Cricetulus griseus: one gene and its partners. The protein of the gene in region 1 interacts with the protein of each later gene in a pairwise test. Links are inferred from orthologs where the notes say so. Each region holds a gene or a part of one and is shown in the gene's direction. Other genes may lie near its edges. The genes, in order: Tmem79, Rnf8, Sln, Tnmd and C-type lectin domain family 7 member A.

The links.
Region 2: the proteins of Tmem79 (region 1) and Rnf8 interact in binary tests that used the Homo sapiens proteins (3 or more experiments, as listed by UniProt). The two-hybrid records come from large-scale screens. The link is inferred for Cricetulus griseus from reciprocal best matches to the Homo sapiens genes TMEM79 and RNF8.
Region 3: the proteins of Tmem79 (region 1) and Sln interact in binary tests that used the Homo sapiens proteins (3 or more experiments, as listed by UniProt). The two-hybrid records come from large-scale screens. The link is inferred for Cricetulus griseus from reciprocal best matches to the Homo sapiens genes TMEM79 and SLN.
Region 4: the proteins of Tmem79 (region 1) and Tnmd interact in binary tests that used the Homo sapiens proteins (3 or more experiments, as listed by UniProt). The two-hybrid records come from large-scale screens. The link is inferred for Cricetulus griseus from reciprocal best matches to the Homo sapiens genes TMEM79 and TNMD.
Region 5: the proteins of Tmem79 (region 1) and C-type lectin domain family 7 member A interact in binary tests that used the Homo sapiens proteins (3 or more experiments, as listed by UniProt). The two-hybrid records come from large-scale screens. The link is inferred for Cricetulus griseus from reciprocal best matches to the Homo sapiens genes TMEM79 and CLEC7A.

Annotation. Positions count from the first base shown.
Region 1 is NW_023276806.1:66,160,227-66,165,643, forward strand, and holds part of Tmem79 (transmembrane protein 79), read left to right. Parts: 5' UTR 1-1,299; coding exon 1,300-2,059; intron 2,060-2,320; coding exon 2,321-2,534; intron 2,535-5,417.
Region 2 is NW_023276806.1:258,072,683-258,078,935, forward strand, and holds the start of Rnf8 (E3 ubiquitin-protein ligase RNF8), read left to right. Parts: upstream 1-2,617; 5' UTR 2,618-2,791; coding exon 2,792-2,902; intron 2,903-6,253. UniProt on the Homo sapiens protein: E3 ubiquitin-protein ligase that plays a key role in DNA damage signaling via 2 distinct roles: by mediating the 'Lys-63'-linked ubiquitination of histones H2A and H2AX and promoting the recruitment of DNA repair proteins at double-strand breaks (DSBs) sites, and by catalyzing 'Lys-48'-linked ubiquitination to remove target proteins from DNA damage sites.
Region 3 is NC_048597.1:165,581,512-165,586,043, forward strand, and holds Sln (sarcolipin), read left to right. Parts: upstream 1-2,350; 5' UTR 2,351-2,413; coding exon 2,414-2,509; 3' UTR 2,510-2,867; downstream 2,868-4,532. UniProt on the Homo sapiens protein: Reversibly inhibits the activity of ATP2A1/SERCA1 and ATP2A2/SERCA2 in sarcoplasmic reticulum by decreasing the apparent affinity of the ATPase for Ca(2+). Also inhibits the activity of ATP2A3/SERCA3.
Region 4 is NC_048604.1:46,267,302-46,273,560, reverse strand, and holds the start of Tnmd (tenomodulin), read left to right. Parts: upstream 1-2,221; coding exon 2,222-2,269; intron 2,270-2,434; coding exon 2,435-2,566; intron 2,567-6,259. UniProt on the Homo sapiens protein: May be an angiogenesis inhibitor.
Region 5 is NC_048601.1:16,594,923-16,601,356, forward strand, and holds the start of C-type lectin domain family 7 member A, read left to right. Parts: upstream 1-2,681; coding exon 2,682-2,775; intron 2,776-4,484; coding exon 4,485-4,583; intron 4,584-5,555; coding exon 5,556-5,690; intron 5,691-6,434.

The DNA of each region.
Region 1 (5,417 bases):
ACATCGGGAAAGAGAGAGAAGAAAACGAGCAAGAAGGAAGCTGTGCGTTGGTGGTGCACGCCTTTAATCCCAGTACTCGGGAGGCAGAGGCAGGCGGATCTCTGAGTTCGAGGCCAGCCTCTGGTCTTCAAAGAGAGTTCCAGGACAGTCTCCAAAACCGACAGATACTCAATAAACATTTACAGAATGAACAAACTTACAAGGCATCTTTTCCCCAACTTACTGTAAGTGCCCTTTGGCGTACAAACCCACTTTTCCCCTGATGCTTCCTGACCTGGAAGCTCTTACACATCCCAGAACACCTAAAGACCACACCTCTATGTCCAGCTGCACCCTCACTTTCAAAAAGGATGACGTCCTCCTCTAGAGCTCTTCCTGTCGGCAGATTCTGTAGGGCAGGGCCTGTGCCTTTAATCTGGGCCCCACCTGCTCTGGTCAGACAGGTTTGGAGTCACAGGCAAGGGGAGGGAGACTGGGAAATACTTGCAGAGCCAGCCAGGAGCTAGGCAGTTCCTTTCCGGGGATCCTCCGCCTCTCCACAGGTGTAAAGTAAGAGGGTATCATGGGTCCAAAGGGCAGGGGGGTAGGAGGGGCCCTAGAGGTGAATGAAGAGAAACAGCCCTAACCAGAAGCAGTGGGCCGGTGGGTGGCAGGGGTTAAGAAAGACAAGAGGAGGGCATGGGAGCAGCCACACTGGAGCTGAAAGTCTGAGTGGAGCCCAGCCTGGTTGAAGGGTGAGACTCTTGAGAGGGGAGTTTGGAAAGTGACTGGTTCCTGGAATTGGGGACTAAGAATCTGGCAACTGGTTTCGGTTGCCAAGAGAGTTCTGGGCAGGGTTCTGGAGGGCAAAGGGCAAATGGAAGGGTGAAAGGGCAGTTTCTCTGTAGGGTGATTTTCAGTTGTAGAGAAGCTCTCAGCCAAGTTCCTCCCATTCCCAAGAGAGGGTGGCCATGAATCCAGGGGTTTGGGTGCAGAGAATGGAAGGCAGGTGTGGGTGTAGACTGAGCCCACGGCTGCCAGGCTGCCCGGGCTCGTGTCCCCTGACTCACCCCTGTCCTGCTGGGTGACATTTCTTTTGAAATCGTTCCTCCATTGCAGTCCTCCCCTGCTGCCCTCTGTCTCAATGCCTTCCCCCATCCACGCTGTGTTCTCCCTAGAGTCCATGAGGCTGCATGAGTGAGTTCCAGTTTGAGGAACTAACTGTTCTGGGGCCAGAAGACAGGGTATTTTCACAGAACCTACCCCACTTCCAGTAGGATGATATCACCTTGGACCAGACCTTAGAACTGAAGCCTCACGATGACAGAACCGGAACCGGAGACACTGGCTCTGCTGGAAATGAAGGAACCCGAGGCTCCAGAGAAGAGCCCACCGCAGGTGCTAGTCCCCACTGGTCGGCAGCCAGAGGAAGAAGATGGGACCGAGTCCCCTGGAGCTGAGTCTCTCAGAGTAGGGTCTTCAACTGGGTCTCCCATAGTCAGAGAGAGGCCTGAGGAGGGTCCAGAGAGCACTATAAGTGAGGCCGCGACTTTGCCCTGGGGAACTGACCCTCACCCCAGCGCCCCACTTCCAGATCCCCCAGGCTGGCGAGATATTGAACCAGAGCCCCTAGAGTTGGAGCCACTCACCAAGTTGGAGGAACCACTCACTACTAAGTCTGAGGAACCACTCAAAGATGATGCCAACTTGCTCCTTGAGAAGTCAGTTAGGGCTTTCGTGCCCATTGACCTCCAGTGCATTGAGCGGAGGCCACAGGAGCGCACAGAGCGCAGGAATTTCCTGCCAGCCCGACTCAGCCACCCCGAGCCTCCGGAGTGCAAGTGGGCTGAGGCAGTTGTGAGACCCCCTGGCCGGTCCTGTGGGGGCTGTGGGAGCTGTGGAGGCCGCGAGGCGCTGAGGGCTGTAGCCTCGTTGGTGGCTGCCCTCATTTTCTTCCCCTGCCTGCTGTATGGAGCATACGCCTTCCTGCCCTTCGATGCTCCCAGGCTGCCCACCATGAGCTCCCGCTTGATCTACACCCTACGCTGTGGGGTCTTTGCCACCTTCCCCATCGTGCTAGGTGAGTCCGGGCCGTGGAGAAGGGCTACTTGGGAAGTGGACTAGAGAGGCCTGGTTGGGGTGGTCTCTCTTCATTCTGCTGGAACCATTCAGGACATCCCAGACCTGTGCCACTCTTCGCCCCCCCTCTTCCAGAGAGCGCTTGTGTCCTCCAGAGACCGCTTGGGGCAGTCCTGACCCAAGAACCATCCTCTGAGAAAGCCATCCCCAGCCCTCCTGCCTTTTCTGACCCCATCCGTGTGTGTGCTTCCTCCCCTGCCAGGGCTCCTTGTATACGGCCTGAGTCTGTTGTGCTTTTCTGCCCTCCGGCCCTTTGAAGAGCCAAGGCGGGAAGTAGAGATCCACCGTCAGTACGTGGCCCAGTCCGTGCAGCTCTTCATCCTCTACTTCTTTAATCTGGCCGTCCTTTCCACCTATCTGCCCCAGGACAACCTCAAGCTGCTCCCCCTGCTCACTGGTCTGTTTGCAATATCTCGGTGAGTAGGGGCTATGGTGGCCATGGCTAGGGTAGGCATGAGGGAAGCGAAGGTATTAGAGACTCCAGGGAGCTAAGGTCTGGAGATCTGAGGTCAGGGGATTGCTGCTGGGGCACCATGCAGTGGTTAGTCTATCCTATATCTCTTGTGATTTGCTGAGAAGCAGGTGGTCAGCTCCCATCTTCCTTTCAGAAGTTGATCTCAGATGCTTGCCGATGGGGAGCTTTTGAATGTTAATTTTTTTGGTACCGAGAATGGAATCCATGGCCCCATACATCTAAGCACAGGATTGACCACCCTAACCTCAGGTGTCATTTGGTATGCCCACTGAAGGTACTCCTCAAGTCTGTGACACTCCATACAAATAGCTTTAAAAATTGGCTATGTTGGACATTTCCGGTTTTATTTTGCTTGAGACAGTCACATCTCACCATGCAGCCTGGACACAAACTCTTGGCAATCCTCCTGTCTCAGCCTCTCAGGTGCTGGGATCACCACCACACCCCTTTCCAGGTTTGATAGTTCTAATTGCTAGAAAGTCCTTCCTTATACAGTGCTAAAAACTGCCCTAAAGCTGATGTAGTGCTCTCTCAGGCCTGCTGCAGTCAAAGTTCTTGGGAGGCTAAGACAAGAGAACTGCCAAGAGTTCAAGCCAGCCTGCTCTAGAGAATGAGTTCCAGGACAGCCAGGGCCACACAGAGAAATCCTGTCTCAACCCCCAGGAGCCCCCCAAAAAGAAAGGAAATGAACTGTCTTGACATGGACCTTCTGGATTTAGACTCTGGACAACACAGATCAATTCCTGCACTTAAACAGCCTCCTCTTTAGTGGTTTAAATGGCTCTGATCCCTTTGTCTCTGGCAGGAAATCTGCTCATCGGTGAGCAGAACCTCGGTTAAGGGCACTGACTCTTTACCCAGAGGCTAGTTCACTCTCATTACTTTTTTTTCATTCAATTTGGAGTCATCAGGGGATATTATTTTATTGACAGAATCTGAAAATGTAGCCCACACTGGCTGAAAATATGTAATTCAGGCTGGTCTCAAACCTACCATTATTGAAAGTGAGCCTTTGTTTTGTTTTGTTTGAGAGAAGCTCAAGATGTCTTGGAACTTGCTGTGTAGACCAGGATTCACCTGTCTTTGGCTCTTGAGTGCTGGGATTAAAAGTCTGCACTACCACACTGGCGCTTTCAGGGAATGCAGTGTTGCACAGCAGTATGGGCCGCATGTGGTCCCAGCCTCCACTCAGGAAGCAGAGGCCAGAGAATCAGGACATGTTTGAGGCCATACAGGGCTGCATAGTGAGGCTTTAACTCAACAACAAAGCAACAGTGAGCAGACAAAACAGTTGACAGTGAGGGGAGACACTGGACTGGGAGTTAGCTCGGTTGTAGACTATGTGCCTAGCATGCAGAAGGCTCTGGTGGAGTGTGCCTGTAGTCCCTTCATTTGCGAGGGTGAAGGAAGGACTGGGGGCTGGGGATATAGTTCAGTGGCAGATCACTTGCCTAGCTTTGTGAGGCCCTGGACCACAAACAAGATTTTGTTAGTATCTACAAAACAGAAATGAATCAAGAAACTGTAGAACTGGATACCTAGGGTGGGAGTTGGGGAGATTAGGATGGGAATCAGAAAAGGGGAAGACATTTTTTTTTTTTTTTTCCCCCGAGACAGGGCTTCTCTGTGTAGCTTTGGAGCCTATCCTGGCACTCGCTCTGGAGACCAGGCTGACCTTGAACTCACAGAGATCTGCCTGCCTCTGCCTCCCGAGGGCTGGGATTAAAGGTGTGAGCCACCAACGCCCAGCCAGGGAAGACAATTTTTGTTGTTTGTTTGTTTGTTTGTGATAGGGTTTCTCTGTGTAGCCCTGGCCATCCTAGAACCAGCTTTGTAGACCAGCCTGGCCTCAAAACCAGAGATTTGCTTGCCTTTGCTCCTGAGTTCTGGGATTAAAGATATGTGGCAATACCACCCAACAGGGGAAGAAAACATTAAAGTTGAATTGTCATTTAATTCTGGATCACATAAATGAACATTTAATTGTAACTTAATTAAGAAAGAAATTAGTTGGCCAGGAGCTGGAGAGATGGCTCAGAGGTTAAGAGCACCGGCTGCTCTTCAAAGGACCTGAGTTCAATTCCCAGCAACCACATGGTGGCTCACAAACATCTGTAATGGGATCCGGTGCCCTCTTCTGGCCTGCACTGTATACACAATAAATAAATGAATATTAAAGAGAGAGAGAGAGAGAGGAAGAGGATAAGGAGGAGGAGGAGGAAGAAGAAGAAAGAAAGGCAGGCAGATTTCTGAGTTTGAGGCCAGTCGGTCTACAGAGTGAGTTCCAGGACAGCCAGAACTAATACACAGAGAAACCCTATTTCGAAAACAAAACAACAAAATGAAATTAGTTTTGCCTACTTTTTTGTTTGTTTGTTTTTCGAGACAGGGTTTCTCTGTGGCTTTGGAGGCTGTCCTGGAACTACCAGGCTGGTCTCCATCTCACAGATACCCGCCTGCCTCTGCCTCCTGAGTGCTGGGATTAAAGGCATGTGCCACCAACGCCCGGCTTAAATCTTTATTTTATTTGAATTGGTGCTTTGACTATGTGTGACGCACCACCTGGAACTGGAATTACAGACAGTTGTGAGCTGCCATGTGGGTGCTGGGAATTGAACTTGGGTCCTCTGGAAAAGCAGTCAGTGCTTTTAACCACTGAGCCATCTCTCACAGCCCCCCCCCCCTTTAATTTTAAATAGTAAATAAAAGAGAAGACGGGAATAATATTCTCACTTCAAAGATGTGGGAAAGTAAACATTGGGAGCATATGTATTAACTGGGCGTTTGTAGTACCAGCATGGCGCCTGCTCCTGACCGATTGGCT
Region 2 (6,253 bases), about 190 Mb from region 1:
CACGCTTTTGTGGCACACGCCTCACCCACTGAGCTGGATCCCCAGCTCCAGTTCTGTAGTTTTACATAGGAGCCTTCTGTGCGTGAGTTTGCACACACAGAGAGATCTTGGTGTCTATCTGTAGAGCATCCTGAGCCAGCCTTCACAGATACCAAGGCCACAAATGACTGGTTCACATCCCTGCTCCCTGACCACATACCCCTGAAGGCAATGGGGCATACACTGTCATTAACAGCTTCAATTAGTATCTAGCGTTCCAGCAAAGGATCAGGGGATGTTGTTGGGAAAGGCCAAAGTTGAAAATCATTGCTTTAGCTGGGTGATGGTGGTGCACCCCTTTAATGTCAGCACTCAGGAGGTAGAGGCAGGTAGATGTCTGTGAGTTCAAAGCCAGCCTGGTAGGAGTTCCAGGATAGGCTCCAAAGCTACACAGAGAAACCCTGTCTCAAGGAAAAAAAAAGAGAGAGAGAAAGAAAGAAAGAAAGAAAGAAAGAAAGGAAGGAAGAAAGGAGAAAAAAATTGCTTTAAAAAATCAATGAGATTTTAAAGATTGTATATTTATTTATTTATTGTTTTTTGAGACAGGGTTTCTCTGTGGTGTGGCTTTGGAGCCTGTCCTGGAATTCATTTTATAGACCAGGCTGGCCTGGAACTCACAGAGATCTCCTTGCCTCTGCCTTCCCAGTGTTGGGATCAAAAGGTTTGTGTGATACCATCACTGAGTGTCTGTGTGTCTTTGTACATATGAATGCAGGTGCCCCCAATGGCCTGAAAAGGGTGTCCAGCGGAGGGTGGGGTGGGGTAGACAGAACAGAGCTAAGGTGGAGAGTTTTTTTATTGAGGGAAGAGAATGGGAGAGAGGTGGCAGTGGGAGAGGGGAGAGAGAGGGGAGGGGGAGGGAGGGAGATTGGGAGAGGGAAAGACAGGAGGTGGACTTGCCCACCTTTTATAGGAGAGCCTAGCGAATGTGCACAGGTGGTGCTCTTAGTGGCTGCAGCTGAGGACATTTTTTATCAGGACCCCCAAGGGCAGGCCAGTTCAGATGCTTGAATACTAACAGTCGGATTCTCTGGAGCTGGAGTACCAGAGTGGATGCTGGGAATGTAACTGTGGTCCTCTGGGAGAGCAGCAAGCACTCTTAAGTGTTCATCACTTTGAGGATAATTTCCATACTGCTGAAGTCATAGGGTGGAAGTGTGCATGTCAATGGCCTTTGGCTGGTCTTTTTCATGGGGGCCATAGACTCCTCAATAAATGACACGTTGACATTAATTATAAAAGCTTGGACGGTAGCTTAGGCTTGTTTCTAACTAGCTCTTATAGCTTTAACTAACCTGTTTCTATTAATTAACTTTCTGCATCCTGCTTTATTATCTAATCTCTGTACTGCCCATCCTGCTTGCTCTGCGGCTCCCGGTGTCTCTGTCCTTCTTCCCAGCATCCTCTGTGCCTGGAAATCCTGCCTAGCTGTTGGCTGTTTAGCTTTTTATTTAAACCAATCGGAGCGACACATCTTCACAGTGCACAAAAAGATTATTCCACAACACTTTAGTAAATTTGTACACTTGTGCAGCTCTCAATCTGACTTTAATCTGCTTTTACAACACTTTAATACCACCCCCTCCCCAGGTCCTTCACGCCCATTTGCATTCGGTCTGTATTCTCACACAGATAGCCCCCCAGGTAACCGTGTGCTGTCTCTATAGATTTGCCTGCTATAATTTTTAGAAATTCAGTAACGAAAGGAGGTCATGCAAAAACTAGATGCTAAACAGGAATAGACCAAACCAGCTTTAAAATGAACCGAGTTTTAAAAGTTACTCAAAGGTGGGCTGTAATGGAGTGAGGGTATAATTTATCTACAGAGTACTTTACACCCCTGCCATCCTCTTGTCTCTGGGTTCAGTCTTCAGCATCTCCCACTTCAAACACAAAGTAGGCTATGGTTTTACATAACATGGCTACAGGCATCATTAGAATGTCGTTATAAAGCATTTTTTGTTTGTTTTGTAGACAGGTCTCCTATCCCGGGCTTGACTTGAACTCACCGTGTAGCCGAGGATGCCCTTGAACCCTTCGTCTTTCTGTTTCGGTCTCCTCCGCACCCTGCCAAAGAAAAGAAGGGGTGGGGTGGAAATAAGAGGTTCCAGTTCGTAGCCGCTAGACCTGGGGCGGTGGCTTGGGAGAGCACGGAGGGGAGGGGAAGGCGTTGGACCGTGGGACAGTCACGTTATGCTCCTGCGCCCAAGCAGAGCGGTGGTGTTCATCACTTTCATTATCCATTATAGTTTCTACGTGTTGACTGGTGTGCACACACAAACCCGCCACGGTGCGCCAGCGGAGGTCGGAGGCCGATCTGAAGGCTCAGATTTCTGCATCCGCCACGGAGGTGAAGCCTGAGGACCGAACTCGGCAGCGGGCGACTTCACTCGCGGAGCCGTCCCTTCCCCCGAGCCCTGGCTGGCCCGGAACTTGCATCACGGACCTCCCTGGGCTCCGGCATTGAGCCCGCCCTCCTGCCCTGGCCATGCTCCGCCCTTCCCGCCCTTCCCGCCCGCTCGCCCGCCCTCTCGGCGGCTCTCCCGCCCCCGGTCTTCCCGCTGCGCACGCGTGCTGCCCGCCTTCCCAGCCCAGGGGCGGGTCCGCGTTCGCGTCGGCTCGGCGGCTCCCGCGCGATTGCTTCTGCCTGGGCTTTAGTTATGGTGCTGGACGGGACCCGGGAAGGAGGCTGGAGCCGGGGCTGGAGTTGGGCTCGTTGCTGAGCGCTGGCTGCCCCAGTGCCGAGCGGGCTATGGGCGAGCCGGACCCCCTGGGCTCGGGGCAGCTCGCGGGCGGCCGGAGCTGGTGCTTGCGGCGGCTGGGGATGGACCGGGAGTGGTTGCAGCTGGAGGCTGCGAGTGAGGTGAGGACGGGCGGGCGGCCGGGGGCGGGGGCTGCGGGAGCGTGGAGGCTGCGGAGCCGATCCGCGCCGATCCGGCTGGCGGGAGGCACCAGGGCGGCAGCCAGATCGGGCCGCCTCAGGGGCTGGCGGGATCGGGCCGCGAGGCCAGGCGAGGCCGTGGCTTGAGAGGCCCGGGTTGGTGGGTGGCTGCGCGGGAGCGAGGCCCGTGCCGGAGCCGCCGTAACGGACGCGGGGACCTCCGGGGACGAGCAGCACGGAGCCGAGAGCAGCACGGTCCCCGACAGTGCCTCTCGGAGCCTTGCGATGACGACCCGGTTCAGACGGGGAAACTGAGGCAGAGGCGTCCCCACTGACCCCGCCGGGACGGCAGCGGAGGGCGTCTGCAGTTGATTTTGAGTGTGATGGCGAGTTGAATGGTGCCTCGCCTACAAACCCTCCCAACTTTAGAAAAATAAAGTCTCCCATTCCACCTCCGAGGAGAACTGACGGGTTGGGGTGGGCCACGGTTGCACCCCCGGAGTGGGGCAGGGACAGTCAGCAGACCTCCCCAGAAACTGCTTTCATTGTCTGACAATGCAGGCTTAAAGGGCTGGTGCTGGGGATCGAACCCAGGCCCTCGGAAGGCTCCGTTAATGCAAAACTAAAACGCAAAAAAGGGGGAGGCACAGTTAGGAGCGGGAGGGAGGTGCTAGGAAAAGCTCCAGGAAAGCTAAGGGTGAGCCCATCCTTGCAGTCTGCTCTGGAAGGGGACCTGGGTCAGGTACGAGCTTGCTGTTCAGAACCCTTTGGGCTTTGGAAACTGTGCAATATTTGGAGGGAATCCTTTTGGGTTTCTCTGTATAGCCCCCGGAACTCACTCTATAGACCAGGCTGGCCTCAAACTCATGGAGATCCTCGTGCAGAATTCTGCCTCCCGGGTGTTGGGATTAGAGGCGGCGTGCACCACCACTGCCAGAGAAGGGAGGGAATCTTAATTGAGAAAATGCCTCCATTAGATCCAGCTGTAAGACATTGTAGTAGTGATTGATGTGGGAGGGGCCCAGCCCATTGTGGGTGGGGCCATCACTGGGCTGGTGGCCCTGGGTTCCATAAGAAAACAGGCTGAGCAAGCAGGTCAGCAAGCAGCACCCATCCATGGCTTCTCCCACCAGCTCCTGCCTCCAGCTTCCTGCCCTGATTCCTGTTCTGACTTCCTTTGATGATGAACAACGATATGGAAGTATAAGCTGAATAAACCCCTTTTTTGCTTTTTGGTCGTGGTATTTCATCACAATAGTCATCCTAAGACGTCGTGTAAATTAAATATATTGAATTGGTAAGGTTAGGTTATTTTTTTGATAAGCTATATATTTGCAATTGAGGGGCAAACATAGTTTCTGCTCTTGGAGTTTATGGAGTTTCTTTTTCTTTTGGTTTTTCGAGACAGGGTTTCTCTGTGTAGCTTTGGAGCCTTTCCTGGCACTTGCTCTGTAGACCAGGCTGGCCTCGAACTCACAGAGATCAGCCTGCCTCTGCCTCCCAAGTGCTGGGATTAAACGCGTGCGCCACCAACACCCGGCCCAGGAAAGATTATTTCTACAATGAAGGAGTCTGTGACCTTTATAGGTTGGCTAAGGTGTGGCTTATTTAGTGATATTCTAGAGCAGGTCCGGTTTTAAATTGGCAGGCGTTAGAGAGCTGCTTATTTTTACATGTGTGTTGTTTTTTCACCTGCTTTACCTAATCTGATCCCTGAACATTCACTAGTCTGTCTCAACCCTGTAGGGAAACTTAATCAAGTGTTGACTTACTCATTGAGGCTCAGTTCAGTGAACTAATCTATTACTTCTGAATAGATTGGCAGTCCCGGGGTAGCAAGGGCAAGAGGACTACAGGTTCTACATGGTGCCATAGTTCTTACGGGATCACACCTATGGAGAGAGAGACCCGCACAAACCAAGAGAATGCCGGTCAGGGTGAGGATTGACCCTCCTTGGCCTGTGTATAAGAGAAGCCTGCCTGGTGATACGCACGGATGGACCCTCATCTGGTATCGAAGGGAACCCTTTAGTAAACTATCTGTCCGAGTGGGTGAAAGGGGGAAGGAATGGTTAGCGGACTTCCTGGTTATTCCAGAGACAGAGCCCTGCAGAGGAGGGGGCTAGGGAAGACGGGCAGGAACAAGGGGATGGTCTGCGTTAACATCAGGGTGCTTCATGGTTGTTAATGGAGCAGTGCCGAGGGAGTTCTTAGGGGGCTGAAATAGAACCATTGTATTCTAGGACTGGACATTTCTCCTCTGGATGCTAAGTCAGGGACAGTTTCAGAACAAGGTGCTCTCCCAGTCTTCTGTACTGTGTTCCCCAGTGGCAGCCAGGCTGTTTCCCCTCAAGTGGAATATGGAATGCTTCCTCTAAAACAGCTACTGAATCTGGGAATGGTCAGTGAATGAGGATGGTATCCCTGAAGATCCCCCCCACCACACTAGTCCTTAGACCTGCACATTCTCCATTGAAGAGTTTGCGTGCTGTGGTGGATATGTAGAGGTCAGGACAACTTCAGGAGTTCTCTGCTCCACTGTGGGCCCCGGTAAGAGATGATCACACACAGAAATGAATCGGGAAACAGACCCGAATCTCAGAAGACGGTCACTTCTTTCCCTACAAGTTTATGATTAGATAGGTCTGCCAGGAAGTGTGACGAGTGGGAACCAGAGCTTTGTTTCTGTCTTCTACAGACCCTCAAGCCGTTGCTGTGGGTAAGTGGGGACCTAGGGTCAAGGAATTTGGTTGGTAGACTTTGCAAAGTGGGCATCCATGTGCGTATGGGTGCCTGCAGGGGCCACAAGAGGGCACTGAATCCGGATTTGGAGTTAAGAGCTCTCTCTAATCCCCATTTTATTTTATTTCCTTATGTCTTGACTGGAAGTTCAACATCAACTGTCGTGTCAGTTTCCTGGAGACTAATGCTAAAGGAACATTATGTCTGTCTGTCTGATGACAGATTTAAAGAGTTAAAGTCTCAATGAGGCAGTGTGCTAGTCTGAACAAGCAAGATGAAAATGAACAGAAACCAGTGTCAGGTCCTCCATATGAATTCACATTTACCAACTCGTCATAGTAATTTGGGGGAAGGAAGGATGGAGAAACAAGAGTTATTTCTCAGGCCGAGGACACTGTGGCAGTGTACTGGAGCGCCATGAAAGTCAGACCCACACATCAGTCGGTAGCCATGCCTAGAACTGGGAAAGTGGTCCATGACTTGACTTTGTAGACCAATTTAAATTGATTTTCTTAAATAACAGCTATCACAATAAACACAGGCCCTGGGGACTCAGGTAAAATGGCTGGGAACAGAGGGCCAGGAATAGTG
Region 3 (4,532 bases), on another chromosome or scaffold:
CAGGGACATTCTGTTCTCCTGTTACTCATTTTCTTCTGCTTATTCTCTACTCCAGGGAACTGTGTGTAAAGATTTTCACTGGCAATTGACAATATACATCATGCTAAGGGCTGAAGGAGGGATAAGAATGAAAAGGGGAGGGGCTGGCAAGATGGTTCAACAGATAAAAGCACTTGCTGCCAAGGTTGATAACTTGAATTCAACCCCCAGGTACCCCAGGTGGGAAGAAAGAACCAACTCCCGAAAGTTGTTCTCTGACCTCCCCGGTATACTGTGACACACACGTGTCCTTGCTCCAAATACAAAGATTAAATAAATGTAATAAAAATTAAGAATCAAAAGGAAACGAAACATAAATCAATCATCATTTGCTACATTTTAAAATGAGTTTCTGTAATCTGTTCATTGGCATAATATAGTATGAACCTGTATATTATACTAATAATTACATAACAAAAGCTGGTTGTTCTTTTGGTATCTATGCAATTAATAATTTGGTACATTGATGATACAACAAACATAACAGTTATAGTTAATTCAGTCAGGCCAGAAGGTTGCTACAAAGATTTGGTCTCTTGAGATTTGATCTTTTGCAAACCAGTAAGTACCCTTTCCATTTAAAGTTTTTGCTCCCATGATAGAATTTTGAGCTGCAATATAATCTACTTAAATTATCTAAAATACAGGAGTTTTAAAATTTATTTTGATTGTATAAACCAAGCATCTGTTTCACTACTTCACCAAAATTAGTAATCTGATTGATAACATTGCCTATGATCTTGGAGTAGACTTTCCTGCACGTACAATCTGTATGCATGCTAAAGATACCATCTCTGCTGTCTGAAATGTTTACAATCTAGGCACATCCTGAGCTTGACTAAAAATAGCTGGCACAAGCTCTTGTTGAAACAGAAATGCTCATGAGGTTAACACTTGTTCTTTGGATTGAGTACCTGTTGTGCGAGGGACTTCTAGTTGACCTCTACAGGCTTTGTGCCAGAGTAGGCTTGTACAAAGCCATGCAGCTGTTGGAGCTACTTTATTCTTTCACCAGGGTTGGATGAAGACCTAGGGCAGTTTTAAATCTGAACGATGATGTTATATGTGATCCAAAGAAAGAGCAATACTAAACTATATTTTTCCCCTGTTTTGGTGTCCCTGCTTGCAGATACTCCAAACAGCAAAGTTAACACATGACATGAAGATGAAGAGAGAAAAATGCAATATTTTATTACTTACCTAAAACAATGCAATTAATACAGGATAAAAACATTGGTCTTAGGATGACAGCAGGAAGAGAAACTAGGCTATTTGTATGCATCCATGCTCTTCAGAGAAGCCCAGATAACTCTGTCTGTCTGTCTGTCTGTGTATGTTTGAGAAATTGATTCATATCATTTGAAGGTTGGCAAGTTCAAAATACTCAAGGTAAGTTGCCAGGCTGTAGCCTCAGAGAGGAGTGGAAACTTAACTTCAAATGAAATCTGAGGTCACATGTTGGGGACCAGGGTATCAGCAAGGCTGGTTCCTTCAAGGCTTTTCTCCTTGGACTGAGAATGGCCATCATTTCTGTTTCTGCAATGTCTTCCCTCTGTAATGGGTCTGTGTCCTAACCTCCTCTCCTTCAGACATCAGTCATACTGAATTAGTGCCCACTAGTAACTGATCTAGTTTGCTTCTCTTCCCGTGGTAAAACACTGACCAAAAACAACTTGAGGTGAAAGGGTTATTTGTAACTTACAGGTATAGTCCATCCTGGAGGAAAGCCACAGCAGTGTCTCAGGGCAGGAACTCGGAGGCAGCAAGTGGAGCAGAGACTGTGCTGGTTATTGACTTGCTTCCTCTGGCTTGCTCAATTACCTTTCAGTTTTACCTTATGTTTTCTTTTTAAAGATTTATTTTTATTGTTTAATATTTATTCTTATTATTTTAATTATATGCATTTGTTTGTGTGTGGGGGGGGTATGTGTACATAAATGTAGGTGCCCAAGGAGATCAGAGGCATCAGATCTCACCAGAGCTAGACTTCTAGGCAGTTGTGAGCCTCCTAAAATGGGAGGAATTATTCAGTTGAGGTCCTTTTCCCCAGCTGGTTCTAGGTTTATATCAAGTTGATGCTGAAGCTAACTATGACAGTGACCGCATATTAGCTTAATTACCTCTGGGAAGACCTCATCTCTAAACACAGTCACATTCTTAGGTCTTGGGGAATAGGATTTCAATGTGTAAGTTTGGGGGGAAGGGTTGGAGAAGTCAGCACAAATACTTCATTTTTCTCTGAAGGAAGACTGGACAGCTTCCGGGCACGCTCACTTATCTCCCATGTTGTCTTTCTTATTTTGTTAGGAAGCAAGGACAAGCCGGAGGTTCTTGGTGTGCTCTCAGAAGTCTGCCTGGAGTTCTCACTCAGAAGATGGAGCGGTCTACCCAGGAGCTATTTCTCAACTTCACAGTTGTCCTGATCACCGTTCTCCTTATGTGGCTTCTCGTGAGGTCCTACCAATACTGAGGGGCCATGCTGCACTTCTGGGAGTGACTGCTGTGTGCCCCGAGCTTCCACTGCTGTTACTGTCATGGGATGCTATTCTTGGTACCACACCATCTCTGACCCGCACTCACGATGCCTGACACTGTTGTGTGTTTTCTAAAGATGCTGTCCTTGTGGGCTGCCAAAAGCTTGTTAGCCAGTGAGCCTTAGGCTTGTTCCCTAGTAAATGCACGATTCAGGCCACCAGGTTAAAATTAAACTGTATTCCTGATGATGCAGAGCAACAACAATGTCTGGTCTGTGTCAACACACATCCCCCAACCCACCCTGTCTGCCACCGAACTAACTCAACCCTTCAGAAGAAATGTACACGGAAGTCTTTGCCAGTCCCTTGAGTTCTCATGTGAATAAAGTTAAGCCACTCATGAAAACGGCTTTTAGAATTTATTTTAGCTCCTGTGTGACCCTTGGCTGGGACTGAAGTGACAAATAGCACATTATTTCTAGCATTTGAGATTAGCCAGGATGCTCCAGCTGCCTAGGATCTGAAAGCAAGACAAGCCAGGGTGTCCCATTTCAAATGATTCCATTGCTTCTCAAACCTTTCCTCTGCTAATCCTACGGCCAGAGGGAGAATGACTACAGCCTGCTAGAGTCTTGGGTCAGAGCCTAGAGTGCCTGCTAAAAGCATAGAATTCCTCTTAAGTCTTGTGCTTTCCCCCATAGCTTTCACAAGAAATGGGCTCAGGAGGTGATTCACTCAGTAAAGCCCTTACTTTGTAAGTTCAAGGGCCTGAGTTTAGACTCTCAAGAGCCATGTGAAAGCCCAGGACAGTGGTGTGAGCTTGTAATTCCAGGTATGGGAAGATAGGAGGCAGAGACAGCTAAGACAGGTCCTGGAAACTTTCTGGCTGGCCAGACTAGCCTACTTGACCAAGTTTCACACCACGAGGGACCCTCTAAAAACAGATGGGGAGGCACCTGAGGTATGACACCTGAGGTTGTTCTCTAACCTTCCCATGCATGTGCACAGATGTTCATGCACACACCTGCATATATAAGTGTACCCCAACATGCACACAAGCATACAACCACATATGTAGAAAACACATGCAAACATGTGAACATGCATACATATATACAAATGCACTCATACACCAAAAATGAACAAGAAATATAATAAATTTTGCTATGCCTGTCTGCAAGTACATATTTAGAATAGTTAACCCCTGAGTGAAGCTAGAGCACAAATCATGCCCCTATGAGTAGCATGTTCCAATTTGGTTCTTGTCCTTATGCAAATAGAACCAGACTCGAGGACAATTTTAAGAAGGGGAAATGGAAAATACACATTTACATACATGTTCATAGGACAAACATAACATGTTGCTAATACATCCTATTTTAGACAGATGGACCACATCTGCTATTTGTGCAGGTTTGTCATAACGACAGGCAAGGGAGATGTTAAACCTCCTGTTGCATGATGCCCTCCACGAAGGTGCTCCTTGCTGAGACTCTATCTGATCTTTCATGGCAACACTCCCTACACAGCACTCTGCTTCTCATCCCTGTCTGCATTCAAAGAAAATCAATAAAGCAGGGAAGGTCTTTCAAGAAATTGATGTAGCCTCCTTTCCAGACCAATTAAATAGAAATATTAGTGGTGGAGCTGAAGCACCCGAGTTAAAACAACAACACAACCTGAACAAAAAGCACAGCATCACCCAGATAGCCTTAGAGGACAGCCAGAGTTGAGGGTCAAGAGCCACCCACTGTGGCTCAGACTGGCATGTGAGAGTTGTTTCTTGAAAGATGGATTCCAGATGATTCTAATGTGTGGAGACATTAAGAACTGATAGCTATGAGAGATTCCCAGCAAAATATGGTCCCTGATGTCCTGGCTCTAATTTTGGAATTAGCTCAAACATGTGGATGTGTGTCTCTATTGATTTAGTGTGTGGGACACATTCTCAGAGGTCTGGAGGGCTCTTGGTTTATGGTTAGCAGAATGTCCTTTATTTGAAGAACACTTGTGAGGACC
Region 4 (6,259 bases), on another chromosome or scaffold:
GACTACTACCCTTATAAAAAGAGATCAGGAACCTGTGCGATAGTGCACACCTTTAATCTAAGCAATTGGGAGGCAGAGACAAGGAGAGTTCTGTGAATTCCAGGCCAGCCAGGGCTACATAGTGAGACCCTGGAGTTGGGGGAGGGGGAAAGAACAAAGGGAGGGAGGAAGGATGGGAGACTAGAATACCAACACAAAGAAATGCAAGCACCATGTGACCAATAAGATAGCTATCTAGAAGCATAATAAAGACAGCTCAAAAATGGAGCAATTGGAAAGATTGTGCTAGAGAAGATAGAGGACACCAAGGAAACAGTGTCTTCCAGACACAACAGAACTAATACACATATGAGCTCAGAGATTGCAACAGTATTCACCAGTCCAAACCAGATTGGTTCTCATCACTGAGATGGAGAAGTAGATAGGAACTCCTATCCCCAAGCAAGAAGCTATCTCCAATTAGCAACCAGTCCCAAAGGAAAAATAGGTTTCTTCAAAGGAGTCTAAATATATATACAAACCACACTTAAGAGCAGTCATCATGCCCAGCTGTAAATGGCCAACACAAAATGAATTCAATGGTAATTTGGGAGGGGTTTTTGTCTCATATTGCTTTGTTCAGACATTTTTTAACCTTACTTTGCTTGTATATTGTGTTTTCCAATTCTGTGTTTTTATGGGTTTTGGGGGGCTGGTATGTCTTTACATGTGTATGAGTTTCTCATGCTCTTTCTTTTTTTGTTGATTTGTTCATTGTGTTTTACCCTTGTTTGTCTTTTGTATTTGCCTCCCTGTTATCTTAAGAGAGGGAAGGGTGAGGAAGTGGCCAGGACCTGGGAAATGAGGGAGGGGACACTAAGATCTAAATAAAATAACTTCATTTTCAATAATAATAAAAATAATAAGCTGGGCAGTGGTGGTGCACACCTTTAATCCCAGCACTCTGGAGGCAGAGGCAGGCAGATATCTGTGAGTTTGAGACCAGCCTGGTCTACAAGAGCTAGTTCCAGGACAGCCTCCAAAGCCGCAGAGAAACCCTGTCTCAAAAAACAAAAAAAAAAAAATAAAGATTAAAAATAAAAATAATAAAAATTAATTAAATGAGATATATATTAGGAAAGAAGGAAAGAAGAAAGAAAGGAAGGAAGGAAGTAAACAAACATCTTGATCTTGGATTGTAGCTTCCAGAACTGCAAGAATGTGTTTTGTGTTGTCTTCTAAGGAATATATTTTTTACAGGCAAGTCAGTAATTTGGCAGTACTTTATTATTGTGGGCCCAGGAAACTAACTGTAGTGGCCATTCATGGTTAGGATTATGGGAAAGAAAGTAGGTTGGTGGAAGGAGTATTTAAATAGTTTGATAGGTAGCATACTGACTTACATCCAGATACAGACACTTGCGATGTTCAAATGGCTTTGAAATTAAAAAACAGAACTGTGTTACAGGTACAAATTTGGATGGCATTGCTATATAAGAAATCTATCAGCCCCAGGACTTGATGAGGTCATTTAAGCAGTTTATGTAAAGTGAGAAAAAAATCATGAAGCAATATAATGAACACCAGCATTGAGGGACCGCCTAAAGAAGACAAACAAAATCATAGAGATGGGATGAAGAGAGAAAGCTCACAATTGCTCCTCATCATATCCTGGTTTTAATTATAATTAGTTAAATACATGTTGATCTTGGCAAAAAGAGTGCTTTTACCTAGTGAGGCACACTATCTTATTTACTTCTGACTCTCCAGCACCCAAGAAAGTACCTGATACTTAATATCCCTGCAATAAATATTTGCTTAATTGAATGGAATTAAAATTAGAACTTCATTCCCTTTTTTGCTCTGTTTGCTTATTTCTGGAGTATGCAGCATGTATTGCCACTGGTATTTTAAGTTCATAGTGAAAAATCATTTCAACGTGTCCTAGGCTTGATCCCCTTCCAACCCAACCCCCAGGACAATAGTTTTCATTATAACCTGTCTTTGCCATTCTGGATGGAATTCTGTGCACAGAAGTTATATACATATATGGGTATATCTATGTAACAAATCGCAGCACAGGAGCCCCCTGGGCTCCCTCCGGCTCTGGTATGACATATTTGAGCCATATAAATTCAGCTTCTCCTCTGGCATCTGGTCGCCGACTCACTTGCAACTCCACCTCGGCAGTGGTCTCTCAGTCTTCTCAAAGCAGGCAAAGAGCACTGTGTGCTGGGAGACTATGGCAAAGAATCCTCCAGAGAACTGTGAGGACTGTCACATTCTAAATGTAAGTTGATTCATATATTTTCCCTTTTGAGCAGAAGCATGCTTTCACAGATTTATCGTATTGCAGTGTGAACATTAGAAAGTGAAATCGACGGAGACTTTGAATTATGGCTTGCTATTTTGAGGGTTATTGTGTATTGTTTCATTCTTTCTGTTCTTTGCTTAGGCAGAAGCTTTGAAATCCAAGAAGATATGTAAATCACTGAAGATTTGTGGACTGGTGTTTGGTGTTCTGGCCTTAACTCTAATTGTCCTGTTTTGGGGGAGCAAACACTTCTGGCCGGAGGTATCCAAGAAAGTAAGTAACACTTACCCAGTGTTTTTTTTTTCCTGAGTTTGGTTGAATTTAACTAGTGATTAACATGTGAATTAATATGAAAATGAAAACTTTCATCCTTTTTGTATTCAGTTGGGGCACAGAAAATGAAATCAAGGTTTTTCTTTCGTTTACTTATGTAGGTGTGGGGAAATTATCTTCTGCATTTTGTTTGGTTAGTAGTGACAGGAAGTAAATTTACTTTTATGGTTGACTTTAAGGAGTTAAATCTGAAAGCTTTTTTAATGTACAAAAGAAAAATTACTTTCCATCTTTCTTTCCATTATCTGGGAAGAAACTGATGGCAGAGTAACCAGACAGTCACATAAGGAGAAGGCACCCGAAATGGCAGCAAATTGTTTTCAGGGTTCATGTTCTGATTTAATGCATCTGCTATGAGGACAGGCAGCAAGGAACACTCCTTTTTCAAAGGAGCAATTCTCATATCTGAGTTCATAATTATTTGTAACTTAACCAGAGCTAGAGCCTTTCAGCTCCTCCGCAGTCACAGCCATTGTCCCAGTGAGATAGTTATGCCACGGGTAGATACAAGCAGCAGTAAGTCATTAATCACAGATATGTCAGAAAGCTTCTAATATTGAGGACATTTGACGAGGCGTGGTTGCCATTGTGGTTTGTATTCCCATGCTTCCATGTTACTGTTATTCCTAGGCTCACGTGCAATAGACAAGTTTAGATGTGACCCAAATAAAATCGTAGTCTTTTCTTGCTAACAGTTTCCACTTGGATGAGAATTAGATGAGCTAAAACCCATTAAGATGGGCTTTTGGCTTTGCCATATTCTTTATTTCTGAGCCTTTCTTGTTGCTGCTGCTACTGCTGCTGTTGTTTTTGTCATGAGATGCTCATTTCTACTTGGTAGCTGATGTAGGGAAGAAAAGGCACAGATCCAGGAAGGAAAATGAGACAAGAAGAAAATGGGTTGGCATGGACCATTAGGAGCCAAAGGAGCAATAGGAGCAAAGAGTTCATGGGGAAAGGGAGACAAAGGAGGAGAAAAAGAAAATAAACTGGCTAACTGTCCAAATAAAAACAGAAAAGTAAAGCATAACTACATGGGATTCTCCACCTCTGCTGCAATACCTGCTTACATTTAGTCTCAAGGGATACCTTGTAAAGTTTAAGTAGGATGGAGAGCAAACAAGCCTACTTATCTGTTTGCCTTTTTATTTACATCATGTTCCAGAAAGGTTTTCAGGCATCACCCACTCCTATTAGCCCACCCACTGCCCTACTGCTTTTGAACTACTTACTATTCAGATGACTTTCTAGAGAAGCCAACTATGCTAAGGCTAGCAAGGTGTGCAAAGCAACCAACATCAGAAAAGAAACAGAAGTTGAATTGAGAGCCAGCACTCATTCCAGTACAATTACTTACTTACTTATGGCATCACTTAGCTAATTTCTAAAGTAATATGCTGCCCCAAAAGTTGAATCACTAATTCTCTTGGAAATTATATGAATATAGGGCCATAAATCATTTTAGTTGTTGTGAATATAATACCTTCACTCTATGTTTCAACCATTCATAGATATGTATCTGAACAAACACAAGATAGACTTTCTTGTTTCCTTATATCCACCGGCACAATAAATGTCATTCTAACCACATTTATGTGTTTTTCTAATCTTACAGTGGTATTTGCTTCAGTGCAGTAATAAATGACCATGGGGGTGACTTGGGGAGATCTTGCCTTTATCTTGTAAGAATCCACACTACCTAGCTGAGTTCATGATCTCCCCTACCTTCCAATTATACTATCGTCATTTCCCATTCCAGTTCTTATAAATATGATTACCAAAGAGCAACTCTGTAATTCCTGAAACCAAACAAGAAACGCAGCCAGTGCATACATGGAAAGGGTACGAGTATGCTACTGATTAAAGTGTACTTAAAAAGAAAAGATATCAAAGCAAAATGAAGTAATTCATCTTAGGATATAAATTTCACGAAAAGGAATGTAAAGGAGGGGCCGAAGTCATTATGAAGATATACAGATAAAAGACACTATGTACCTCCTATGGTAAGTTTTTCTATTGTGAACAAATACTATTTACTTGCTATTCCATGGGGAATTACAATATACTGTCTTTCATATATATGTCCTGGCCTTCACCACAAAGTCATGTTGAGGTCACTGAAAATCAGGAGACCAGGTAGTAGTACAGATTCTTTATTCAATCAACTACTACATTCTATGTCCCAGACAAAGAGCTTGGGATGCTATCCATGTTCCTAGTGACCAAGACCCTGACTAGGCCTGCATCTGAGCAGTTAAGAATCCAGGGAAAATAAAAGTAGTCTATTAGTCTGGGAAGAATATTTCCAGAGGAAAATGATCCAAGCATCTTGTATAAATTTAAGACTCTCTCTTTAATAGTATGGGCTGGAATGAAATGCTGATTGACAAAGTAAAACCCATGGTCTTCTGGACTTTGCTTTGGTTGCCTTTGGGATTCGTGAGGCCTGTGGGGCCTTTGGTAGAGAGAATGACTGATACATTTGTACTTTTGTAGTGATACCTTTGTTGTCTCTGGGCTGTCTCTGAGCTCTCAGTGTTTGCTTTTCCAGCCCCCACAATACTCCTTCTTGTTTTCTTTTTCAACATCTGTTTATAATAAACAGTGTTTATTTAACATCCTACATCTGGTGTTGACATTTCCAGGCTACTAAGTCTTTCCTTTCCCTCCCACCTTCGTATGCACAAAAGATGCAGATGATGGATTTCAAAACTGGAGTAAGCAATATTTGACTCCAAGTGTTCCTCAAACATGCATGTGAACACACACACACACACACACACACACACACACACACACACACACACACACACACTTATCCAGGAGAAAAATAAAGGAGGTTCAACTCTGAGCGAACTTCTGTACTTCTTTCCAAGCCCTAGGTTTCCTGAGCCACAGCCGTACCTAGGAGACTTGAAAAAGTCTTGAAGAGGCTTGAGAAAAGCCAAGTCTATAAGGCTCTGTGTTCAGCTTTCCTAACTGAGCAGAAAAAAAAAAACGTATTCAGTTCCAGAGATTTCGAGAGGTCACCATATTGAGAGTCCACTTCTAAGCAGTAACTTCCTTACAATCCATGAAGCATACTTTTGGGGGGAAAATAGTCTTACTTAAAGTTCCCTGTGTTCCACATTGAACATGAAAGAATTAGAAACCAACTCTTCAACTAATCAAATCAACATGGAGAAAACAAACCAGAAAGGCTGTAGCTCTTAAACCAGCAGTTTATAAACACAGCACAGATTTTGTACCCCACTCTTTCAAACTTTTGTGAAATGAGACAGAAACACAAAGTTGTGTGGATGAAATGGCATGTGTTTTCTGCCATAAGTCAGAACTAGGTGGTGATTTTTAGGGCTGCTGAGAAGTAATCACACACACACACACACACACACACACACACACACACACACACAGAGAAGAGAGAGAGAGAGAGAGAGGAGAGAGAGAGAGAGAGAGAGAGAGAGAGAGAGAGACAGAGAGAGAGAGACAGAGAGAGAGAGAGAGAGAGCAATCAACATATTCCAGGAGATGCTCCTTCAAATTCCACATTCTAGCAGCATGAGATGAAAGGTGATGGGGATAAGTGAGCATTCTGTCCTGCCCATGCCACCTCAATTGCAGAAGATCATCGAA
Region 5 (6,434 bases), on another chromosome or scaffold:
TGGGTGGCTGGGTGGCTGGGTTGCTGTGTGGCTGTGTGGCTGGGTGGCTGGTGGCTGGGTGGCTGGGGCTGTGGCTGGTGCTGGCTGTGGTGGCTGGATGGTGTGTGGCTGGTGGAGTGGCTGTGTGGCTGGGTGGCTGTGTGGCTGTGTGGCTACTGGGTGGCTGGGTGGCTGGGTGGCTGGGTGGCTGGGTGGCTGGGTGGCTGGGTGGCTGGGTGGCTGGCCCCTGACATTCTTCTCTCCTCCTTTTCTCACTCCTGCTCCTAGGTCTTCTTTTCTCTCAAGCCTAGATTTATCTTCCTATTTATTCTCTCTGCCTGGCAGCCCAGCTTATCCTTTCTCATGCATAGCTATTGGCTGTTCAGCTCAGCAGGCAAAGTAACACAGCTTCACAGAGTTAAACAAATGTAACAAACATAAAAGAATACAACACATCTTTGCATCAGTAAACAAATAAGCCACAGCACAAGAATGTAGCACATCTTAAACTATTATTGCATAACATTATTGCACGACATCCACCGAGCTTAAGATGGAAGGGAACACGACGGGGTTTATTGCCTTACATTCTCCTTTCTGTGTTTTCATATAAATAAGGATGTCCCTTTATCTAGACAGTGAAAGAGGACAGAGGATCTCCTCCTCCCTTTCTCTCACATGAAGATCTCATGGCCTGTGTCAGGGGTGATCTTCCTCTTTGTGCTTTTTTTTTTTGTTTTTCTCAGATGTCAACATGTCTTATCTTGGGGTAGAATGTCCTACATCTCATCACACTGCTTCACAAAGACCGCATTATGACTTGAATGGCTAATGGATATTGAGAATAGATAGACAGGACCCTTATATGACTTATCCATGAACAGCCAGTAAGACTTTGTGGCAGACCAGGAAAGAAGCAGATTCTCACTTAGTGACTCTCCACTGACTGCTCTATCATCTCCATCCTTGTTAGACCTGGAGAAGTACAAACTTATGATCATATAATGACTTCTCCTACCTTCACCTGTACACCTGGCAGACCTACTGTGACTTCCAAGTAACTGAGGGTTTTTTTACTAAGGACTGGTGGATCCAGTAGCTTGAGGTACCTACACAAGCAAGCTTGATGCTGGTAGTGCTACTAGCTTCTTAAGTCAGAGCTAAGTTTGTTGTCTTGTGATCTGCAAGAATGATGAGTGTCTGAGATCCAGTCTCAAAGCATAAAACAAAGCAAAAACCCAACTTGGCAGTCGGTAGTAGGTGAATCCACTCTTAAAGCAGTTATGTTTGGAATTTGCAATACAGTATCTTTTCTCTGACCTTCGTGTAATAAAGCCAAGGCCCTGAACAGTTTCCTCAAGGGCAAACATTCAAAGTCATCGTCTTTGCTCTCCCTCACTGTCTCTGAAAGTTGAAAGTACATGTGCCACTGCCTCATGTCAAAAAGATGAGAAGTTTCTTAGTTTAAGGAGTGCCAATGGACAAGCCCTGATGAAGACTCACTTTGGCTATTGCTTCACACCACAACTTTACATTAGCACACGCCAGCCTCAGAAAGCCTTCCAATTGTTGTTATGTGGACTCTGACTTCAGCTCTTATTGGACTTTCTTTTCCATTGCAATAGTAATCCTTAAATTAAATCTCTCCTCATTACTTTGATGTCCTCCTTGTTGACCTCTAGCAGTAATAAAATTATGGAAATCAAACAATTTTGTACTAATTTGGTCACTTTGTGTTAACCTGTGAATTGAAAGAGAGAAAGAGAAAAAATTCCAGACATTTAGCCTTCTGTTTCTGTCTTAGATTGTCCTAAACTATCATTTGCATTCTAAGAGCCCACAAGAACAAAGCCAGTGCAGCAGAAAGCAATTCCATGTCTAAAAGACAGAGGAGACTTTGTTCCAATCTCTTGTTCTGGTTTTAAAGTTCTTATTGTCTGAGTATCCATGTCTTTTTCTCCTTGTTTGAAAATTGTAGAACTAAAACACGCTTATAGAACCCTTAGAGATCTGAGATTAAATGAAAAAGCCTATGTGCTATGCTGTACTAAGGCACCATAATTACCAATAAATATTTGCTCCCATATATTTTTACTTCATGATAAGCCTCAGCGAGATTCACCTGCTTTCTGTTGCTGGGATAATATGCTTTTGATACTTGCCTGTGGTTTCCTCCATCAGGCAATGAGTTTCTTTGTGGATCACCTTTCCGCAAGCATCCAGTTCCTCCAGCTGTGAAGTAGTTAATGTGTGTTTACAGAATGCACACATGCACAGATGTGTGCATGCAAGCAGAATACGAACAGACCAATGGTGAGCTCAAGGTACCAAAACTGCTTAACTGTTTACACAGGACACATCTACTAATCATGCCAACCCACATCAATTAATCATGCCAACTTGGTTCAGAGTGTAACTGAAGTCGTAGCATTGATTTCAAACAACAGCCATGCACTACGACGTTTCAGATTTCTTCAGAATTTACAGCCTCAAAAAAAGGATCTAGAGGGAAAAAAAATGGGAAATTACTCCAACGTGATTTTCATTTCCTGCTTTGGGCACTGGCTAGACTACTTATACTGAGTTCCATAAACCTCAGCAAAGAGCTGTTTCAGGGTTCTGTTTAGAGAGCCTCAAAACGACAGTTATCTTACTTGGAAAGAACATTCAAGTGCTCTGCCTACCCAAGGCCCTACAAAACAATGGAATATCAAGAGACTCTGGATGAAGATGGGTATACTCAATTAGACTTCAGGACTCGAGGCATCCTAAAAAGACCTGTGGAGTCAGAGAAAGGTATTCATTTTCATTTTCTCTCTGCTTATAGAACCTTCATCCTTATCAACAATAGTAGAGACCTGGGCAGACTCTTGATTTGTAGGACTTTCTAGTGAAATATATATATGTATATGTACATACATGTATATAGATATATATATTGGAAGAGTCATCACAGATTCCTTGGATGTTCACAAAACCTCTTTTTGGAAACTACCCAATGACTTCCACAGATTGTTTTTGATTTGTGGCGATAACCAGGACTGCTCCACTCTGGAGTCACAGATGCTTCATCAGTGGGAAGTGGGGTTGGTAACATGAGTGATAGGCGAAGATGAAGGAATTTTAATGAGTTACTTGCTGCTTGTGAGGGGGCCAAGAAACTCAAAATAGTGTAAATGAACCTGTACAATCTTACTATATATAGTGCCAAAGGGACAGGGTATGAAATCGTAGAGGATTCCATGGAAAATAAAAATGAATACATCTTTGGTGAAACCCAAAGAGTAGCCAGGAGTCACAGAGTTTTAAATCCCAAATCTGATATACTTTTGTGGGAAGAGACTAATTTGAAATTTTCAAAACTTGTTGCTGGTATACCAGGGATGGAAAACATATGCTAGAATAAAATGTCTAATTGGCAGGACATAGGAGATTCTTAAAATGGAAACAGTGCAAGATATACAGAATGTTAAAGGATCTCTCTCCTCACAGGGTAGGTGCTTTACTCTCTTTCTGGATCTCCTATTGGTCATCTCTGTGACTTGGGCTTCTGGTGTTGGTGTGGTAAGCTTAATACAAAATCAGTTCAGCGCTATCATTAAGGAAAAGATGACTCATGGGTTCTGACATTACAATTTGCTTTCTTCTGCTTTTTTGGCATTCACATTATGCAATTATTTTCTTCTTATAACCACTTACACAACCCCTTCCTTGTGCAATTAGCTTGTAAGATGGTAGAAAACTGAGTGAGGGAAGGGGCAAGGCTTTTGCTTGTGCTGTGTAAAGTACAAAGTGCTCCCAGTTGCTGGAAAGGGTGTTTCTATGCATTTTTAGATCACTTACTTCCAACAACAGTATTTTACGGTGTTACTGATCCAGTATCAAAAATGGAAACTTAAAAAATAAATAAATAAAAAGAAGGGGGTGGAGAAAGTAGTTTGTCCAAATGATGCACCAAATAAATAAAAAAGGAAACCTACCCTTAATAACTAGTTCTGTTTCTCCTACAGAAAACTGCTCACCCTATGAACAAGTAGGATTTCAGGGAATGAATAACACCCAGACCTATAGACTAGCATGTGAACCTGCAATTGAGGGGTATGCAGATGGCAAGGCATAGCCAGGAGTCACAGGGTTTTAAGTCCCAAATATGATATACTTTTGTGGGAAGAGACTCATTTGAATTTTTAAAAACTAGTTGTTGGTATATCAGTGATGGAAAGCATATGCTAGAAGAAAATGTCCCATTAGCAGGAGACAGATCTTAAAATGGAAATAGCACAAAATACGCAGGATGGGAAAGGGTGATAACACAGCTGAAGCAATTGAAGAAGAGCCATGCTGAAGCTGGGGACAATGGAGACTCGTACTACAAGACTAGACTCTCAGGACACTGACTCTAGTGGCTGATGACCCCTTTAGAACTGTCCCCACTTCAGTATGCTGGGCAACTAAAGGCTTCCACAGACTTTTCTTATTTTCTTTCTCATCTCTCTGGCTTTCAGGAAGCCGGTCTTCATCTCTCCCTTGGCGTCCCATTGCGGTGGCCTTGGGAATCCTGTGTTTGGTCGCACTAGTGGTTGCTGTAGTCCTGGGAGTCCTAGGTGAGTATGGATGAGGGAGATTAATGACAGTCACAGAGAATTAATCTGTGCATCAATCCCATTGAGTTCATGATATTAATTTCCATTTCACTTATAGGAGAATGGAGAGATTGGAAGATTGACTATTCCATTGCTATAAATTAGTTAGCGGTGGGATCATGAGTAGAAATGTAGACAATCTGCTTAATAAAACATATATTCTTAGCTATATTGCTCTACTATTCTACATGAATATCTTACTTTTTTAAAAGAGGAATTTGTAAGGTAAGTTAGTGGAGGGGAACTTACAGAGCTGGAGAAGGAAACAAAATATGCTGTTATCTTTCCTAGGGCATAGCTATATTAAAGGAGTTGTGTGTAATTTTATGAACCTTTGGACACATGGAAATTATCTCACAGATGATCTTTACTAAGAAAAAATCTTGACTCTTCCAAGTATTGCCTGAGGCACTTAAAACATACTAAGCAGATATTTTGTGATTGACGAATAGATCTCTTTAGGTTTCTATATCTCATGAATCCTGTGTCAATACAATTATATGATCTTTTCAAAGAGTCTTCATTGCTCATAATTAGTCAAATGCTTATTAATGTGTGTACAAACACACTCCATTTATTACAAGCTGGGCAATCCTCAAAGAGCTGCCCTTTTTAAATAATAGGAGAAAGCAGAAAGGATATTATTGTCCTTGAATTATTATTATTTCAAATTTTTATGATTTCAGCTAAGTCTGTGTCATTTTCTTCTTGCTTCCTTCTTCACAAAAGTTATTCCTTTCCACACATCTGATCAATCATCCATGTATCAACCATCAGACTCTGTCTTTTTCATCAGCAACGTAGCATTGATTTACCATTAATCATAGATATTCCCTATTAGCTTTCATAAAATATGGGGGCTGGAATTTCAATTCTCAAACAGAAGAATGACTTTCTTTTTTCTGTCACTATTATTGTTCCTGAAATATGAAGCATTTTGGAGATTCAATTCAGGGAGAAATCCAGAAGAAAAGGAAAACTTCCCATCGAGAAATAAAGAGAACCACAAACCCACAAAATCATCTTTAGATGAGAAGGTGGCTCCCTCCAAGGCATCCCAGACTACAGGCAAGGGCAGAACCTTATAAAGGAGCCATGGGATCCTGGATTTCAGAGGTCCATTTCCTGGTGCTGAGGCATGGGGTGGGGAAGATGTTTACGTCTAATAACAGTGTATTCTAGGCAAACATGCCTAGCAGTATTTCCTTAGCATAACATATCCTGTCAGACAAATGACAAAGTGATATCACAAGTCTACAGCTCTTGCCAACAGCATCAGTTACTGTGCTTTTCTCTGACTGTGTGTGGAGACCTACCGGATATGATATAATTGTAAGCAAAAGAAGAGGCAGTGTTCAGTTCCTGTAGGGAACTGATATTTTTACAGTGATATTGTTAGAATAAGATAGATGTAAGGGAAAAGGAATGTCAGGGGAAAAGTGGGGAAGTTGACCCTGCAGACAAGAGAGTAAACATGAGCAAGAATATGCAGAAGAAATGAACCTGATGCAGACACCACTGTAAACTCTGGTTAATCGCATTCAATCGTAGCATTTAATTGATTTTGTGACAATTTTTCTACACTCTGTGTTTCTGATTGGACTGTAATTGACTGACAATATTTTCCCTTCACTATTCCATCTCTGAACTTAACCTACCCACTGCTTTTAGCTAATGAAACATAAGAGTCTTGGAAATATAAATAGTTACATTTATGCCTTTCCATAAGATGAATCAAGTGAACTGGAGTTAATGTGTGTAGCAATTGATTTTGAGAGTGTTTGCTTTAGGGAGGGCAGTAGAGAAAGCCAG